3 linked regions of the Oryzias latipes genome follow. The protein of the gene in region 2 interacts with the protein of the main gene of each other region in a pairwise test. Links are inferred from orthologs where the notes say so. Each region holds a gene or a part of one and is shown on either strand. Other genes may lie near its edges. The genes, in order: delta-type opioid receptor, ranbp9 and mkln1.

The links.
Region 1: the proteins of ranbp9 (region 2) and delta-type opioid receptor interact in binary tests that used the Homo sapiens proteins (3 or more experiments, as listed by UniProt). The link is inferred for Oryzias latipes from reciprocal best matches to the Homo sapiens genes RANBP9 and OPRM1.
Region 3: the proteins of ranbp9 (region 2) and mkln1 interact in a two-hybrid assay, tested with the Homo sapiens proteins (2 studies listed by BioGRID). The link is inferred for Oryzias latipes from reciprocal best matches to the Homo sapiens genes RANBP9 and MKLN1.

Annotation. Positions count from the first base shown.
Region 1 is NC_019873.2:17,201,739-17,206,908, reverse strand, and holds part of delta-type opioid receptor, read right to left. Parts: intron 4,134-5,170; coding exon 3,958-4,133; intron 2,544-3,957; coding exon 2,365-2,543; intron 2,141-2,364; coding exon 1,942-2,140; intron 761-1,941; coding exon 755-760; 3' UTR 1-754. UniProt on the Homo sapiens protein: Receptor for endogenous opioids such as beta-endorphin and endomorphin. Receptor for natural and synthetic opioids including morphine, heroin, DAMGO, fentanyl, etorphine, buprenorphin and methadone.
Region 2 is NC_019875.2:8,732,836-8,738,784, reverse strand, and holds the end of ranbp9 (ran-binding protein 9), read left to right. Parts: intron 1-1,382; coding exon 1,383-1,495; intron 1,496-1,687; coding exon 1,688-1,796; intron 1,797-2,583; coding exon 2,584-2,738; coding exon of another isoform or gene 2,739-2,810; coding exon 2,811-2,964; intron 2,965-3,034; coding exon 3,035-3,156; intron 3,157-3,334; coding exon 3,335-3,486; intron 3,487-3,902; coding exon 3,903-4,014; intron 4,015-5,696; coding exon 5,697-5,827; downstream 5,828-5,949. UniProt on the Homo sapiens protein: May act as scaffolding protein, and as adapter protein to couple membrane receptors to intracellular signaling pathways. Acts as a mediator of cell spreading and actin cytoskeleton rearrangement.
Region 3 is NC_019881.2:8,984,330-8,990,889, forward strand, and holds the start of mkln1 (muskelin), read right to left. Parts: upstream 3,627-6,560; 5' UTR 3,576-3,626; coding exon 3,496-3,575; exon of another isoform or gene 2,422-3,495; intron 346-2,421; coding exon 276-345; intron 1-275. UniProt on the Homo sapiens protein: Component of the CTLH E3 ubiquitin-protein ligase complex that selectively accepts ubiquitin from UBE2H and mediates ubiquitination and subsequent proteasomal degradation of the transcription factor HBP1.

The sequences.
Region 1 (5,170 bases), on a different chromosome or scaffold from region 2:
TGCTTTTTTGTGTGCTGTACAAACAGCCCAGAGGGCTTTCCTTGTAGGTTTGGTACAAAGATCCACAAAGACAGTTCCTGCTTTGTACATTCAGAGATTTGTGATGAACAGAAAATATACAGCTTTTTTTTTTCCTTTCTGGTGAAATCCTGATAAGTTGATGCACAGCAACACACACCACAGTCCAGTAGTGGCTGAGGCCCGCGTGGTGCTGAACCCCTCAATGGAGGGTGTGAAACAACAAGTCCTGCTTCTGCTACACACAAAAAGCCATTTTTTTCCCTCCTGTTTAGTCAAATCCTTGCAAAATCCCACAAATCTCTTTTTTCACATGTAAATCCACCTCAAGTAGACATTTGGGGGAAGCATGACAGAAAGGCATGACGGCGTGTTCGAAAATTGATTTCTGTAGTTGACATTGACGAGTACACGTCACCATATTGGCTTATGAAAGTGGATTTACAGATCTGTCAGTTGAACACTTTTTTTTTTGAATCAATGTCAACAGAGTACTGTGCACATTTCTTCAGAGTGTAACAGTGAAGGGGCGGCGGGCTCTTCAGTCCTTTTAGAAGTTTTTGAGTAAATGCTGTGAGCTGCAAATGCCTCACAAAGGTGCTCTGGATCATCTAATGGGCATGTCTGGCTCGAGGGATTAAAACCCAGTGGTGACTTGTGTGACTTCTGAGTTGAGATCGTCGTTGGCAATGCTGCCACAACAGCGAGAGTCCAGCGACGACCCCTCCAAGGCTAGTCATACCTGCAGAGAACGCAGACAAAGCAGCGCCTCATCAGGATGCACACACTGCTGCACTTGTCTGAGGACGTTCAACAGATGTGACATCACTCTGATAAAATGCCAATGACAGACCAATTAGTTATTTACAAACCCCAAATCTTAAAAAACAGGATTTTTTTGGGTGTATTTATTATGACAGTGATGTATTTGTATTCTGTTTTTTGTAGCAAAAATGTCACATGTTGAAATCTTGCAGTGTTTTCAATATTTATGAACTTTCAGTTTTTCGTTTGTATTTGTCTTTAGCTTAAATTCTTGCCACATTTAGGCAGAATTCTGCTATTTTTGTTCCTAAAAACCATATTTGCTTGGATGAAGAAGCCCTAACACTGTTATTGTTTAAGTATTAGTTTTTTTTCTTTTTTGGGTGACTATACTTTTTTTTTTTTTAAAGATCTATCACCCAAAAAATGTATAATGCTCCAGAAAAAAGGTGAATATTTATGCTTCTATTTTTGTATTTGATGTTTTTTTTATTACATAGCATAACTAATATAACAGTGTTCATGCATTTTGGCTGTTTTTTTCATTAAATACAATAACTTGCAAATGTTTTGCAAGTCTTTTTTACAAAAAACATTTCCAAGCAGAAACAGCCAGCTGTGAAAAACTTTATACTTTCCATCTATTTTTTTTAAAATATAGTATTTTATACCATGTTTAATCTGAAGCTTTTAATGTTCAATTGAAATTGTTTTTTGTTAATTGTTATAAAGAGTGAGATTTATTTCATGGTATAATCACAAAAATAGGATAACATGAATCTTAATTTAAAAAATATAGCAGGTAAACTGAAATATAAGATGACTTGTAAAAAAAATCACTGAAAATAAAATGGCTTTGCATAATAATGATTATTATAAATTATTATAATTATTAATTATGATGATTTCTAATTTGCATATAAATCTAGTTTCTCATTTTGTTATATAGGATTTAAATGCCCAAGTGTTGCACAATTAATACTATAATTAATCATTATAATTTCTTGTATTTAGGAAAAGTTTATGTTGTTACCATAAATGTTATAAAGAAAGTTAATTCATACTAAGAAGGAAAAGCGGATTTCAGTGGCAAATCAGTTTCACGTTTTCAACATCCTTTTGATCAGATCTGGTTCAAGATTACTCATATGTGCTTACACAGACGCTGGCTACCTGTTGGTTGGACCTCTCCCCTGTGTTTGCACTGTTGTGTTCACGCTTCGGGACCTTGCGGCTGGTGGCTCCAGTTCTGGAGGAGTTTTGAATCTCCAGTACGGAAGGACTCGGGGTGCAAAACTCACGGAAACAGCGCTTGAAGTTCTCGTCCAGGTAACCGTAAAGAACCGGGTTAAGGCTACTGCATTGGGCAAAAATAGGGTCATGGGTTAACAATGCTAGCTGAACAAAAACTCAAAATGTAACACTATTTAACAAAATCCTTTTCTTTTTTGCAAGTGGTGAGATAAAAAAAATCCTTTTAGTAAACGACAATGAACAGTTTCTCTCATTAAATCTTGTTTAAATGCCCTCTCTATACATGCTCTCTATAAATGCCCACACAGCTGCCAAATGGATTTTTACCTGTTTGTGTAGCCCAAGGCGATGCAAAAATGCCAGGTGATGGTTTGAAGTGTGGAGCTGGGAATGTTGATCAGTGCAGTGATGATGACAAACACATGGATGGGGGTCCAGCAGACGATGAAGACGGCCACCACCACCAGTACCATGCGAGTGATACGACGGAGGTTCTTGTCTTTCTCCTGCGATTCACAACAACAGCTAAGTACCGGCAGAGAGGCCCTTTCAGAACACACAAAAAGTACAAAACCGATCAAGTGTAATGCTTGCGATTCACTGAAAAATGTAATAGAAATCCAGCATTTCTAAAAGCAAGGCCGTCCTTTTTCAAATGCACAAAAGTGCTGAAAAGTAATTTACAGAGATAAAAAAACGTGTTTAAAAAAATATAATGTAATTAAAAGCAGTGCAATAAATGAGATAGTGACACTGAACATATATTTCAAATCAAGCAAGAGCAAAGTTTTAGGTTTAAAAAAAATGTAAAAATCATTCACCTCATTTTTTTGTTGTATCCAATTGAGTATATCTACAAAGTCCCAATTCACAACTGAGGCCACAAAAAAGATGGATCTTTATTGAATGTGATTAATTATAATTCAATTCAGTCCAGATAATTATTTTAATTTTATGCTAATGGCATGAGTGACCAACAGATTACATTGAAGACCCACTACAGTAAAAATGTTGTCTTAGTGTTTTTAAAACACTCTTCTAACCTTTTTTTATGATGACATACAGCATATAAAAAAAGATAATTTCGAAATGTAATCTTAAAATTGTATTTCCGAGTATATCTTTTTTTATTTTTCCAAATCATTGTGAATTAGGAGCAGACAAAAAAATGCTGTTTGAAAAAAGACTGTAGCTGTGACATAAAAGCTACAGTTGGCAGGCCACAAGTTTCCTGCTCCGCTCCATTCTGATGCATCCACTTCCAGAAAAATAGATCTTTTCTTCCACATCTAAGCTGGAATCTGGAGCAAAACTGTACGGCTGGATTGTTCCAATATTGCTCACCACTTTTGTTGCAGCTGTATTGTTAAGTTGGTGTTGAAAGACGCAGTAAGCTAGCAGGAGAGAATGTAATCAGATGAATGATTAGAAATCAAGGCAGGCTTAACCCATGCCAACAGTCCCGCCCACAACTCAGAGGCGAATTTAGGCAAGTTTCGCTCTGCAGAAACTATGTCCTAGAAAATGACAGTTTTTTTTGATTTTGCCAAAAAACAGCATAATCATAACTAAAAAGACCACTGGGAACACAAAAGATGATTGAATGGGTCTTTAAGGGGTTTTCGATTTGCATACTGAGCTCGTAAAAGGCAACAGTGTTTTAAAAAAACTGGATAAAAGGCAACCAAAATGTAAACACTGTAAGTAGATCATATATGAAAATATTGCATTTCACACAAAAGGTGAGCAAATATTTGTTTTTGTAACCACAGCTTCATTTTTTCCTCATTTTTTTGTCTTGACATCAATGAATGAAACCATTTCCTATCATGCAGTGCTCTGCTATGATTTGTAAATAGTCATCAGTGATTTGTTTCAGTTTTTGTGACTGTTTGGCTAAGTTGATGAAAAGTGTCGCACCTGTGAGCCTGACAGCATTCGAACGCTCTTCAGGCGCAGGATCATGAGTCCGTAGCAGATGGTGATGATGAGGACGGGCATGATGAAGGCAAAGATGAACACACAGATCTTCAGCAGAGTGTCCCAGTACCAGGAGGGGTGGGGGAAAATCAGCTTGCAGTCCACAATCTTGGGGTCTGTGGGGACAAACATACTTGGCAAAACAGCTAAGGGGGGGCCGTGAAGGACAAAACTCATTTCACGTCGCACACGTGTGTTTGACACAAACGCTAATGTTGTTTTTGAAAAATGCAGACATCCATCTTCTTTTGAAACATGTTTAATCCCTTTTAGGATAATGGGGTTGCTGGAGCCTATCCTAACTACTGTTGGCCAAAGGCTTTGTAGTTTCTGCACAGGCATCCAGTCTGTTGCACAAACATGCAAAACATGTTTAATATATTTGTATGTGGTGAACTAGGACATCAAAGCAGCTCAGCTGCAAAGCTTTTTCTAGATTTAAAGCCTGAAGACGAGCAAAATAAATATTGGTGGGTCTATAAAGTGAGTTTGCTTAAAATTCTTAATAGGAAAAGGCAGTAAAAAAATGCAAAGCACTCAGCGAAACTGATGCGGAAATATATTTCTGCTTGATTTACAACTCTGTCTGTGCTGGGTTTACAGTTTTCTATTTCTAGTGGAATTTCTCCATGGTTCTTGTTTTTGAGTTAAAGTGTTGTAAGTGCTTTTTTATTCATACATTTATTTCTCTTAGAGTTAAATTTATTGAAAAGAAAACTTGTAAAGGGACCAGACTAGAAGATTGTTTTACTAATAAAGTTTTCTAGTTTTTCTAATAAAAGTCTACAACTGTGGGTGGCAGAAAGCAGTCATGCATTTTCCCTGAGTGTTAGAAAATCTGCTCTGTATGAGCTGGAAGAGCTTTTTTTTACGGGGCTGTTAAAAGACAACGAGATTTTGAAAATGTTTCTCGACTCCTCTGTTCTCGCTCTCAATTTCTGGAGATTCTTGCTTTAGGGCTGCAGCCATCACACCATGCACCGTCTGCACATCTGAATGCCTTTCTACTCTGATCAAGGCTGTAAAGCTTCATCCACACCAATAAATTCATCATCTGCCAATAAACGTAATTTTCTCAATTTTTGTTTTGGCCTCTTTTGGTTCTGCATGTCTTCATTACTGTTGCTGTTAATGAGCTGCTTAGAAGAGTCTG
Region 2 (5,949 bases):
GAACAAAAATGCCTCGTGCTTGGTGTTAGATAGAGAATTCAAACTATTCACTGAGTTCGAAAGTACGTACATGGCGGCCGCCAATTAAATCCATAAATTAGCCGCGTCACTGAATAAGCCGCAGGGCTGTAAGCGCAGGAAAAAAGTAGCAGCTTGTAGTCCGGAAATTACGGTACATATTACACTCGGGATGCAACACTTTAAACCTCGGTTTTTGGGTTATGGATTTGTTTCGGTTTGGGTATTACAAAACAACAACAGAAATTCAGAAAATTCTTTATTTTTTTATTTGCAAATAAGCATCTTAAACCGAAAATTGTGGCATCCCTAAATCACTCGCTCCTTAACGTACCGTAACTCTCAAACCGTTTCCACGATCAACGAGAAAAGCAGCTTTACAAATCGGCTCTGCGTCCTTATGCAGCCCTTTACATTAGTAACAGCGCCTTTATGTGCGACAGAATCAGCTGATTAACATAAACACTTCACAACTGTAAAGTGTTTCATACCAGAGCAAAGCTGCTTTTCTCCACTTCAAAATCAGCTGGAATTCCATCGAGAGCTGAAAGAAGCTCCAATGTTGAACAAGATTTTCATACATATCACACGTGCATAACCTAAAGCATGTTTAGGTTGTTTTTAATTAAAAAACAAAAAAACCTTACCTGTGAATAAAGTAACTGCAGCCTAAACATTAGAACTTTTTTTACTTTCCAACTGTTTCTTACAGAAGTTATCCATGTTCTTGCTTTTCACTAGAGGCCTTGATACCTTTTTTTTAATGTATTTATAAAATGTGCATTTTGGATTAACTTGAGTTTACTGAGTTTGGAGAAATTTAAAAAAATCCTTGTGACAATGAAACAAAAAACTTCAAGAAGAGGGCAGACGCATTCTCACATTTTTCTCTTCTATTTATCGAAAAAAAAATTTTTTCATTTGATGAAGAAATCCGAACAGGAAGTGTCCGTTTGCAGGATGCTGCTGCTGACGGAGTCCAGATGGACCAGAGCTGCCACGCAGCAGTAAAACCGGCAGGACTTTCTCCAGGATGGGATTTGCAGCCTGTTGCTGTGATTACTTGCTGTGAATGGATTTAATCTGTTTGGTACAGATTGAGGGTGAGGGTGGGGTGAGACGGGGCCGCATGTGCGATTATCCACATAGAGCCGGTCCAAAGGTCCTTTTTTTCTCTTTTAAACCAATCCAGATTGTTTTTCCTTTTGAGTTATTCATTAATCTTTACAGATTTTTTTAAATATATAAAACGCATGATATCCTGCCGATGGTGGGGCAACTTTGTCCTGTTAGCTTTGCTGTGACCTCATTTCTGCTGCGCCTCATGGACCTCACTGAGTTCCAGTCCTTTCTTGTCTCGTCAGGATGGTGGCGTCCTACCTGGTGCACCACAGCTACTGCGCCACAGCCGAAGCCTTCGCAAAGTCCACGGACCAGGCCGTGCAGGAGGAGCTGGCCTCCATCAAAAACAGACAGAGTGAGTCTGCGAAACGCCGCAAAGTAAAACTGCAGTATCCAGAGACTTGCTGGTCAAATTAAAGCACAGCTCTGCCTAAAAGTCTTCTTCCCTCCAGCACGCCCTTAACCCCCCCATATAAATGTTAAAAGTATAGGGGTTAAATGTATATGACGTTTAGCAGCACTGACATTCACGTGTTTTTGGCTGCAGAGATCCAGAAGTTGGTTTTGTCGGGTAGAATGGGTGAAGCCATCGAGACCACCCAGCAGCTGTACCCCAACCTCCTGGAACGGAACCCGGACCTCCTCTTTATGCTCAAGTAGGAACACACACACACAAACACACCTCATCCATAAATCTTCAGAACCCGCTGGATCCCCTTCAGGGTCGTAGGAAAGCTGCTACTGCTGGGCCAAGGCGGGGCACACCCATTCTGATGCAGAGCCACACACTCGCATGCACGCCTAGAGGGAGTTTAGAGAAGCATGTTTTTAGACTGTGAGAGGAAGCCAGAGTGGCCGAAGAAAACCCACACATGCAGGAGGACAAGCAAACTCCACACAAATGCTCCCAGCTGGGACGAGAGCGCTAACATGCACACAAACACAGAATCTTAAAACTGCCTAATAATCTATTTGGTGTGAGGAGCATACAAGGATTGTAAAATCACAATATGAAAGTCAATATGCGAGTCGTGTTGGAGTAGTGGTTAGCACTCTTGCCTCATAGTGAGAAGGCCCTGGTTTGAATCAAAGGGTTCCTTTCTGTGTGGAGTTTGCATGTGCTCGTGTATGTGTGGACGCCGGACACACCAGCTTATGCTCTGTGTGTTCAGTGATTCTGGGATATGGTGGGTTCAGAAAATGGATGGATGGAGTATAGGCCAGGAAAAAAACAATAGTCTAGGATCTATGAAAAATACTGTTATATTTCCATGTGTGTGGGGGGCAGATGTTTGGTATTGAAGGAGGTTAGTTTAAGGGGTAAAAGTTTATCGTAGGAGATAAATCCTGAGTTTCACTCAGGTGGGAGTGTCTTTTAACGATGATTTTTGGCGATTATTAATTCCTACTTCTTTGGTTGAGCTCTGTGTCCCTCATTTTCAGGGTGAGACAGTTCATCGAGATGGTGAACGGGACGGACAGCGAGGTGAGGTGTCTGGGGGGCCGCAGCCCCAAGTCTCAGGACAGTTACCCTGGCTCGCCGCGCTCCTTCAGCAGCCCGGGCCACAAAGCCGGCAGCTCGCAGTCCTACCTCACCGGTACAGTCCCGCGCTTGGCCATGAGCCCCCACCCTGCAGCCGCTCTGATCCCTGCTGCTGGTTTGTTTGCAGGGGTCGACAGCAACTGCTGTAATGGCGTGGCATCAAGTAAGAGCCACAGCTCCTCCCCTCACAGTCACAAGCCCTGCCCCCCTGGCTCTGGCTCCACCCTCCCAGTCACCGACGTTAGTCTGAATGGGAGCCGCAGCCAGCTGCCCATCACAAGGTACAGTCTTAGTTTAGGACTGAGGTTAGATGTCTGCACCTGCTGACCCTGCATCCCCCCCACTTTACAGCAACGACGTGGACATGGAGGTCGACCACTTCACCAACGGAGTGACAGAACTATCCTCTAATGGTTTCCTCAATGGCACGTCCAAGCACGCCACGGAGCCGGAGGACTGCGACGCAGACATGGGTGGGTGCAGAGGCGGAGCCTCCTGCGTGGCGCTTGCTTTGCCTTCAGCAGCTTTTGAAACGGCCTGCAATGCTTTTCCCGTGATGGACGCGCTTTCACACAGCAAAGTCCAGGGATTTTTCTCCTGCCGTTAAGTTTGAGTGTCATCAGATCACTGACTGTTTCCTCCCCACCTCAGAGGTGGAGTCCGCTCAGGTCAAGAGGCAGCTGTGCGGGGGGAGCCAGGCCGCCATCGAGAGGATGATCCATTTCGGCAGGGAGCTCCAGAGCATGAGTGAACACCTCCGCCGCGAGTGTGGCAAGAACTCTGCCAACAAGAAGATGCTGAAGGTGAAGTCAGAGTTCGGCCCTGACAAACGTCTCATTTTCAGAACCTAATATTGACCTAAAGTTTTGGTTCTGAGACTTTTGTCGTTCATGTGCAAACTTTAAAATAAAGTTTAGTGTAAATGAAAACAATATTTTTACTTATCAAATTCCAAAACTCCATGTTTGTTTTTTCCTCCGCTGTGGATTCATAAAAATCCACCTTAGAAATCTTGCTGCACTGAATGAGATCAGCTCTAATCTCTAGAGATTACCCACACGGCTCATATTCCATGACATCAGTCTGCATGTGGCTCAGAAGCTTTGACACTGTTTTCCTGACAAAAAAGATGAAAATGTCACGGGACAAAAGAGAAACGTCCTGCAGCTGCAGAGGACAGAAACGGTCATGTCTGATGGTTCCTTGTCTCCCGCTGAAGGACGCGTTCAGCCTGCTGGCCTACTCGGACCCCTGGAGCAGCCCGGTCGGCTACCAGCTGGACGCCATTCAGAGGGAGCCGGTCTGCTCCACTCTCAACAGTGCAATATTAGGTGGGTCAGCTGCGGCTTTGGCAGGCGGAAGGAAGTCCAACACGATGCTGGTCGGGCTTTGTTCTGCAGTGACTCTGCAGCCTGGGTGTGAGAGTCAGATCTGCAGTGACTCATCAGGAGGGGAATGGACTGACTGACGGTCAGCTGATGGCTGCACTTCATTCATCATCTCACTGAATGAAACACTTTCATTTTGATTCGGAGCTGAAATCACAGATTTGTAACAGAGATCCTGCTGTGGAAGGACTTTCAATTTCTATTGAAAGGACTTTCAATAGAAATTTTTCCCTTTTTCCCCCGATGATTTTAAAGTCTCACTCCACTCATCTTTAATGTATTTTCAAAGCGTTTCCTGTGTTGTTTTTAAATAATGATTATGCCGTTTTTAGCTCAAATCAAAAAACCTGTTTAGTTTCCTAGAACATAGTTTCTGCAGAGCGGCAGCATTTTATCAGAAATTTAGCTCACAGTTGTGGACGCGACTTTTGCCGTACAGCACTGCTTCTCAATTATTTTTTGCACCCCCCCCCCCTTAGGAAAAAGACAAATTTTCACGCGCCCCCAACCCCCACCATCCATGTTTATTTATGATCAGCTGTTTTCTTGCATTACCTGCTGTCTTTCGGTCAAATACTGACACCAACTAAACGACAGGCAGACAAAGAATACATTGATGGAAAACAAAGACATGTCATCAAAATGTCAACAATAGTTCATAAAGAATGACATTAGAATGAGCTGAGTAATCTAAAGGCCCGTGATGATCCTGGTGCTGCGCAATCCAGGCAGCTCTCCGCGTTCCACCTGCAGCCTGAGCCCACTACCCCTCCCCCTTCCTTCTCAAAGACAGGAGCAGCTGGAGGGACGGCAGTTCACAGTTTCAGGCTGTTATAAACTCTGTCATATAACAGATAATAGGAAACCAACAGTGGCGCAAATTTTTTCCAAGTTCTGAGCCGCTGTCACCACGACCCCCGTATTGCCCGTATTACCTGTGGCTAAAACCGCTACTACTGCGTGCCCCCCCTTGTATCGCATCAGGCCCCCGCCCCACTATTTGAGAAGCACTGCTGTTGAGTAATCCTGCCCTCATTTTCCATGATCACGTTGTTTACATGCTCCTCCGCTAGCTTACAGCCCCTCTCAACTAACATTAACAGTTTGACAAAAACGGTGACCAAATCTGTAAAATGTCCTTGTATTTTTCACCAACCTGTTGTTGGAAAATACCTGGTGATCAGCTGAAGGATGGAGAATTCTGTGGAGATAAATATTAGCGGCCCAGACCGCTAATAGAGGCCACATTTCCTGATTGGCGTCTTCCTTTTTTTTCTTCTCTCAAGTAAAATCAAATGTAGTTTTTGTTAAAGAATTCTTGATGATGATCAAAGCTCCCAAAACAGTGTTTACTGCTGAAAAGTGGGGAACTGCGTGGAAGCAGAAGCTCCGCCCCGTCAGGTTTGAAAGCTCTTTGAGGATCTTCCCGATCAAGGAGTTGTTTTTTCAGGATGATCCCAGGTTTTCGGTGAAAAAAATGTCCAGAAGCGTTTCACCAAACTCTGGAGGTTTTCTGCTTTTGTTTCTCCAAGAGTCTGAACTTCTTTGGAGTCTACAATACTATCCTATTGTGAAGGAGCGACTCCTCAAGCACCTCCTCACTTTTTTTCTTTCTGTCCTTCCAGAGACTCACAACCTTCCCAAGCAGCCCCCCCTGGCCCTGGCGGTGGGTCAGGCCGCCCAGTGCCTCGCCATCATGGCTCGAACAGGCAGCGGCTCCTGCGCCTTCGCCTCTGTGGACGATTATCTGCACTAGCCACATGCGCACACACAAACACAATCTCTAAAGGCCTGTCTGGTCATGACCCCCCTCCCAGAACCAACACCACCACAAGTGTAGTCCTCTTATCCGAGGGACCCCCCCTCTCTGCACGACGG
Region 3 (6,560 bases), on a different chromosome or scaffold from region 2:
TAAAAACAAACAAACAAAAAGAATAACCTGTGACAACAGTCTCCTCTCAAACCGTTAGGAATGTGGCGACGTTGTGAAGCCAGCTACCTGAACTCTCTGCACTCAGAAACAAATCTTAAACACAGGTTTACACGCATAAAATCACTTCATATAATACAAGGAGTTTAAATGATTAGAATTATCTACATTTACAGATTTTTTGAGGTTGACTTTTTTTCTTGAGAGTTCACAGATAACCAGCTTCACTATCTGATTAATTCAGCGGACAAGCCTACCTGTGGAGGGTAGTTGCTCTCAGAAGACCACCTGGAAGACTGATCGTTCGGTTTATCCACCAAAATATTCCTAGAGAATAAGCAAAGCTAGGTCAGGAAACTTCCAGAAAGTAAAAGACGCAGATAAACCATCAGAAAAAGATGGCTTCAGAATAGAACAGCAGGTGCATTTGGAACGTTAAACTGACCAGGCCGAAGATCACTGACGGAAAATATTTGGAACTTCACAAACCCAAATTTTTTATATTTTTCATACAGATCTTAAAGAAAATCACACTTTTTACCAATATTTTGCTCCGAAGAATTCCCACATTACACACAGGCCTGTTGATATAGCGTAATGTCAGCAGTTTTTGGGAGCAGTTTCACTAACCCTTCCTAACCCTCAGCCATAAATTCACAAATCTGACTAAATAAAAATTAATCAATGCTAAAGAAAAAAAAAGAACTAAAGTATGATTGAATTTTAAAATGATTAAAAATTAATTTTTCTTCAGCCACAGAGACAAAATCAAGGGTAAAAAGAGCTGATTCGGCTTCTGAGCTTCGGTAGCAGGCACTATATATATATATATATATATATATATATATATATATATAGTGCGTTCGCCATTTTGTTGTGCGGTCCGAATCTACAATTCCAAAATCGAGTGCACTGGAAATTTTAAACTAGATAGGCGTATATAGACCACAATGCATTGCATCGGAACACTTTTTGCCAAAAAAAATTTATTTAAATGTTTTCTTTAAATAAACCATCAATGTATTTATTTTAAATGTTTTTAAGACAGGGGACTCATAAATAATAGTCGCAAAATGCTCATATCAATTAGATTTTAGCTTTGTGAAATCCATGTAAAAAAAAGTAGTGAGCTTGGTGTCCGAATTGCTTCTAAAATTCAGGGGTTAGGGTGAGAATTCGGAAAGAGAGACCTGAACTGAGACCAGAGACCACGTTGGATAAATATGGGGATTGGATTGTTAGAATTTAGACCAGGGGTCAGCAACCTGCGGCTCCGGAGCCCCATGCAGCTCTTTCATCCTTGTGCTGCGGCTCTCTGTGTTTTTGTAAAATAACTATCATGTTCTAAAATTTTCGTGGTCGTGTAGTGCAAAGCGGGCAGGAGGAAGAGAGGTCCGTGAGCATGCGGATTTGGCGTGTCTGCAGCTGTGAACGCCGACCAGAGTCTGTAATGGGATGGAAAGTTTTTCTAAAACGACAGTCAGTGGCGGAAAAAAAAAGCCATTTTTTTCCCCCTAGACTCGAACCACCCATTTCTGCGTAAAATCTATTAAATTTGCATTAGGGCGCCCCTACTATCCTGTCAACTGTCTGCTATGATGACCGTATTTTGCGCTGTCTGTGTAGAACATGCTGGGGGGGGGGGGTTGCACGCAGGGGAAAAGACCCGCAACAAACTAAGCTTCCTAATAAAAAATAATTTTCATCCATAAAATGAATACACTTTATTGGGTTTACTGGATTTAAAGAAAAAACAAATATAGAAACGAGTCTGAATCAAAGTAAATGTTTCCATCATCTCACTTATCTTAGCTCTGGGTGTTTGACAGAAATGTCTATTCAAGGTTGTGGGAAAACAAAAAAAGATCAAAGGAAACATCACGTTCATAAAAAATTAAAATGAATAATTAAATAAATATTCTGACAGCATTTTTAATCAATACAAGTATCGCCAAATGAACTATTGCGATATATCGGTGGAACGATTTTTTTCTAACAGCCCCAGTGTTGTGGCTCCCTGTGCTTTCATTTCTGTGGGAAACTGATCCAATTGGCTCTTTGAGAGGTTCAGGTTGCAGACCCCTGATCTAGACCAATCAGCAGGCTGGTTGATGGCAGCTTTGTCAGCTAAACTGACACTTATAAGAGCAAAATCAAAGATAGGAAAAGATGAGACACAACGCATGTGAAAACATTTGTGTTGCAAATGCAAAAATATTTTTTTAAATGAAAAAAGAAAAAAAATGAAAGCAATAAAAACTAAAGGAAAAAGAAAAAAAGGATTTTCGTTTGCAGCTTAGGAAGTTTTGTGTGCTACGTGGTGGCATAAATATATCACTCCATAAAAATTCAGAAATTAATGAATGGATCAAAATACCGCTTTGGGGTTTAGTGAGGAATTAACATAATACACTTAAAAACTCAAAACGTTGATTTAGCATGATATGGGCCCTTTAAAAACGACCATGTCAAACAATTTGGCTGCACAGCATTTATTTTCTTATAAAATTATAATATTTTCCCACATATGTTTTTAGGATAGGGGGTTAACAATAGCATGTGATAGATAAAGCAAAAACTTGAAGTATGTTCGAATGGAATTTAATGCATTCTCTTTTATCTTCTTATGTAACAGAATTTCACATAAAACAAACGATGGAGAAAAAAACTCGTAATGTTTATGTTTAGCATCACAACAGACTGTTAGCTTCCACATTCTGCTGTTGTGGTAAGCTAGCTTGACTTTCACGCCGCCGCAAGAGCTGACACAGTAATCAGTTATACTGCTTGATGTTAGATATCTCAATGTTTAATGAGAATTAAATGCATGAATGCGCTGAAAAGTTTGGCAGTTCGCTTGTCAGGTCTTGTTTCAGGGAACCGCTCATTAGCATAGCAGCTATGAGGTTAGATAACAGGAGTTACCTTCATCTGAGTCCCGACGGCCTGCGTTAAATATTTGTATGCTTGGTGCCGGTGTGCGGACGGCCGCACCAAACTACCAAAATGTTTAAAATTCTAACATTTCTGCCCTCCGGTAATTTAAACAACCTCCAAAATAGGACCCCATGAAAAGTCATATTGCTGACTGATACTGTTTGTCTATTAAAAATGTATCGTTTTGTTAACATTTGCTAACTTTATGAGACGAACCTCTAATTTACACATGTCTCTTTGGACCACCAACACAACATCATCAAATTTAGGTGCAAAGTTGACTAAAAAGTTCCCAGGATGGTTTTTAAGGACTACTTAATACCTCATACCACTCTGTCTGACAAACTGCTCGGGCGTTTAAGTGTCGCCGGAGTGCCAGCGCGTTCAAACCAAACGAACCCACCACCACCACGACAGCTAAGCTAGCTGAGCCGGACCCCAGACGAGCCAGGCCAGGCGGGTCGGCGAAACCATCAACAGGGAAACTGAGGCCACCTGCAAGTACAGATATTGCAGCGCACGGTCGTGCCAAATACTCACTCTGGTAAATATGTCGAGGAGTAGGAACTCCATTTAAAAAGGCTGTAAGTGAGGATTCTGCTCTCAGGAGCGACGGCCATTTTGATGCATGAAAAAAACAGATAGCAGGAGGCTAACAGGGAACGAGCTGCGACTTAAAGAGACAGTACACTTGTTTTCTTATTTTGATATGTTTATTATACTAAAATCTGTTGCATTTTCCAAACCAATGTTGTATTAAAAAAATGTATGTATGTGTATATATATATATGTATGTATGCATGTATGTATGTATGTATGTATGTATGTATGTATGTATGTATGTATGTATGTATGTATGTATGTATGTATGTATGTATAGACGTAACTTTTTTTTAAATAAAAGTTTTGAAATGTTGATTGTAATCACAATTTAAAAAATTGATGCTGCATAACCAAGTAATGACAATATCTGGAGGAAGGAACATGAGAAACTAAAAAAAACCCATCTCTTTTCATCCTCTGCAGCCAGGTGGTTTCTTACACAATTTTGGCTCTCTATCAGAGGCATGGGAGCTAGAGGTTTTTGTGCAGGATTTTTGATGTTCCTAGCTTTTCTGACAGTTTGACAACTGGACAATAAGTTATCGACCGGGTGACCAATTATGTGGAGAGCGGACAAAAACCTGTTGACCAGCCCCCACATCACATCGGCCCACTTTCAGTGATCAGTATACCCGACAGCCATTCCACCCCATGGCCCGGGTGCTGTCATACCTGAGAATCCAGCCATTGAGACCAGCCATTGAGCGTTGCTGTTGTGTGCTTTCTCTCCCACATACTTTTCCAGTATTGTTCAGTTTCCAGCCTTGGTGGGTCTGCTCTGCTGTTGTGACCCCTCCACTGAGTGTGTTGCAGGTTGAGTTGGGAACAGCCTGTTTATCTGCCTGGCTTCATTTTTGGCAGTTTCTAGTGCTTCAGGTACGGGAATTTCCCTGTAACTCTTGGGAACTTGCTTTTTCATTGGACCTCTCTGGGCCTCTTTTATGAACACATTTTAAGACAGTCATCAAGCAGCGAAATCGCCAGGTGTCGAAAAGAGAGGCACCAAATGCGAATTTTTAGCGCAAATCACATTTGGTGTGAATGCAGCATTACACTTTATAACATATTATACATAGATCTTTCAGAAGCAGAACATAGTCTTATGTAGAAGTAGCATTTTGGGAAATGTTTTGCATTTCTTTCAACATTTTACCCTTGATTACATGTTTGAGCCATTTAAATGTTTCCATATTTAGAATAGAACTTTATTGATCACACAATGGGAAAAAAGATTTACCACAGCCCTATACAAACAGCAGATAACAAATAACACCATCTAAACTTGTTTTTGTCCCTTTCTGGGTCACAGGGCTGCCGGAGCCTATCCCGACCTCTCTTTGGTGAGGGTAGGGTGCACCCAGGACAGGTTTCCAGTCTGTTTTTTTAAATAATAAGACCAAACAAACCAGCTCTTACCACTGTTCTAGAACTGAGAAAGCCAACTAAGAACAGATGAAATATCTTAAAGATTAACTGAGTCCAGTTGACTGCTTCAGAACCTGCTACTTGGATAAAAGCTTTATAAAAAAGGTTTTAAAGATCTTACTTTAACCCTTGTGCTATCTTAGATGACCCCACCCTTACATTGACGTGTTCTCCCTGACATGACAAAGGTGAATAAAGGTGGAAAGATTTCATGTAATCCATGGACACCAGAGAAGATCACAAATCATTGAAGAAAAAAGGTTCAGAGCACTGTTTAAAGGGTCTAGATGACCCAACTCCCAATGGTAAAGTGCCTAGGATAGCACAAGGGTTAAAGGAAAGAGCTTGTGATAAAAAAACAGGCAATTGTTAACCATTTTCATTTTTTTTGTTGTGTTTTTTGTTTAGTAACCAGCCAGATGAAGTCGGCGTTGTTGGCTGTTCAGAGACGTTCAACAACAAACAACAGTCAGCACCAGGAGGAGTCCTTAGTTACACTCAGTTTAATCAAAGCAGCTTTTCAAAACTTAAACAGGAGGTCAGGTTAACTTGAAGCAATATGCAAAGCAATACATTTGCTAAAAAATGATCAGCATTTTAGGTGATGGAATGATATCTTTTAGGTTTCTTCTTCACTTCGGGAGAGATTCTTCTGTCATATTTCTCATTCAGCCTTGATTTGTCTTCTGAACAGAACAACCAGCAAGTGTCTTTTCACGCTTCCGACAACATTTGAAAGACTTCAGACTGAAGCATGGACTGAGTAATGACATCATGAACTCCAACAACCACATCCCCATTCAGTGTCCTGGCTGAGTGCAGTTACAACAAATAAAGAAGAACTGTTTCCCTTGAAGGAAAACAGAAATAACCAAGCTCAGAGTACCAAAGAAATCCTCTGTTTACAAGACAGTTATTAACGAGACAGCAGGATAACCTGAGTCCAGGCTGTCTGTTTAAAAGCAGAATGACTGAGTCTTTGATTGGATGGTGGATGATGACTCCAACCTTATTTTGAGTGAATCATCTGCCAGTGAACTTTCTGGCCTGATGACATGAGGACCATAACAACTGCATTTCTCATAAATGCACATCCAACACTTGGCTGGGATTGCTTTCACTTACTGTAAATCCAGGAAGTTTCTCTGCCAAACAGCTTTTATCCATTCCAGAGTCACCAGCTGTCATCAGACGAGAGGCAGCAGACATCCTGCACAGGTCGCCAGACCATCTACTGATTTTAAAGGAAAATTTATATTTACATTTGACTAATTTACAAATGTCATAGTTAACAAGGAAAATCTATGACAGTCTATACACTGTACTTAAAGAGCTGTGGGGAAAATGGTCTCAGCTGTGAGAAATGTCAGAAAAACCAGACTTCATGTTTCAGTTGTCATATGCTGCAAAGGGAAACCCAAACAGAGACTGGGAAAATCAGTTTTTTTTTTTTTTTGGGACTCATTCCAAAACGTTTTCCATATTAACACTCTAAAGTCTGATATTGTTCAGTTGAAAACCCTGATAACAGAACACAGGTAAGATTTTTAAGGTATTGCACATTAATGATAGCATGA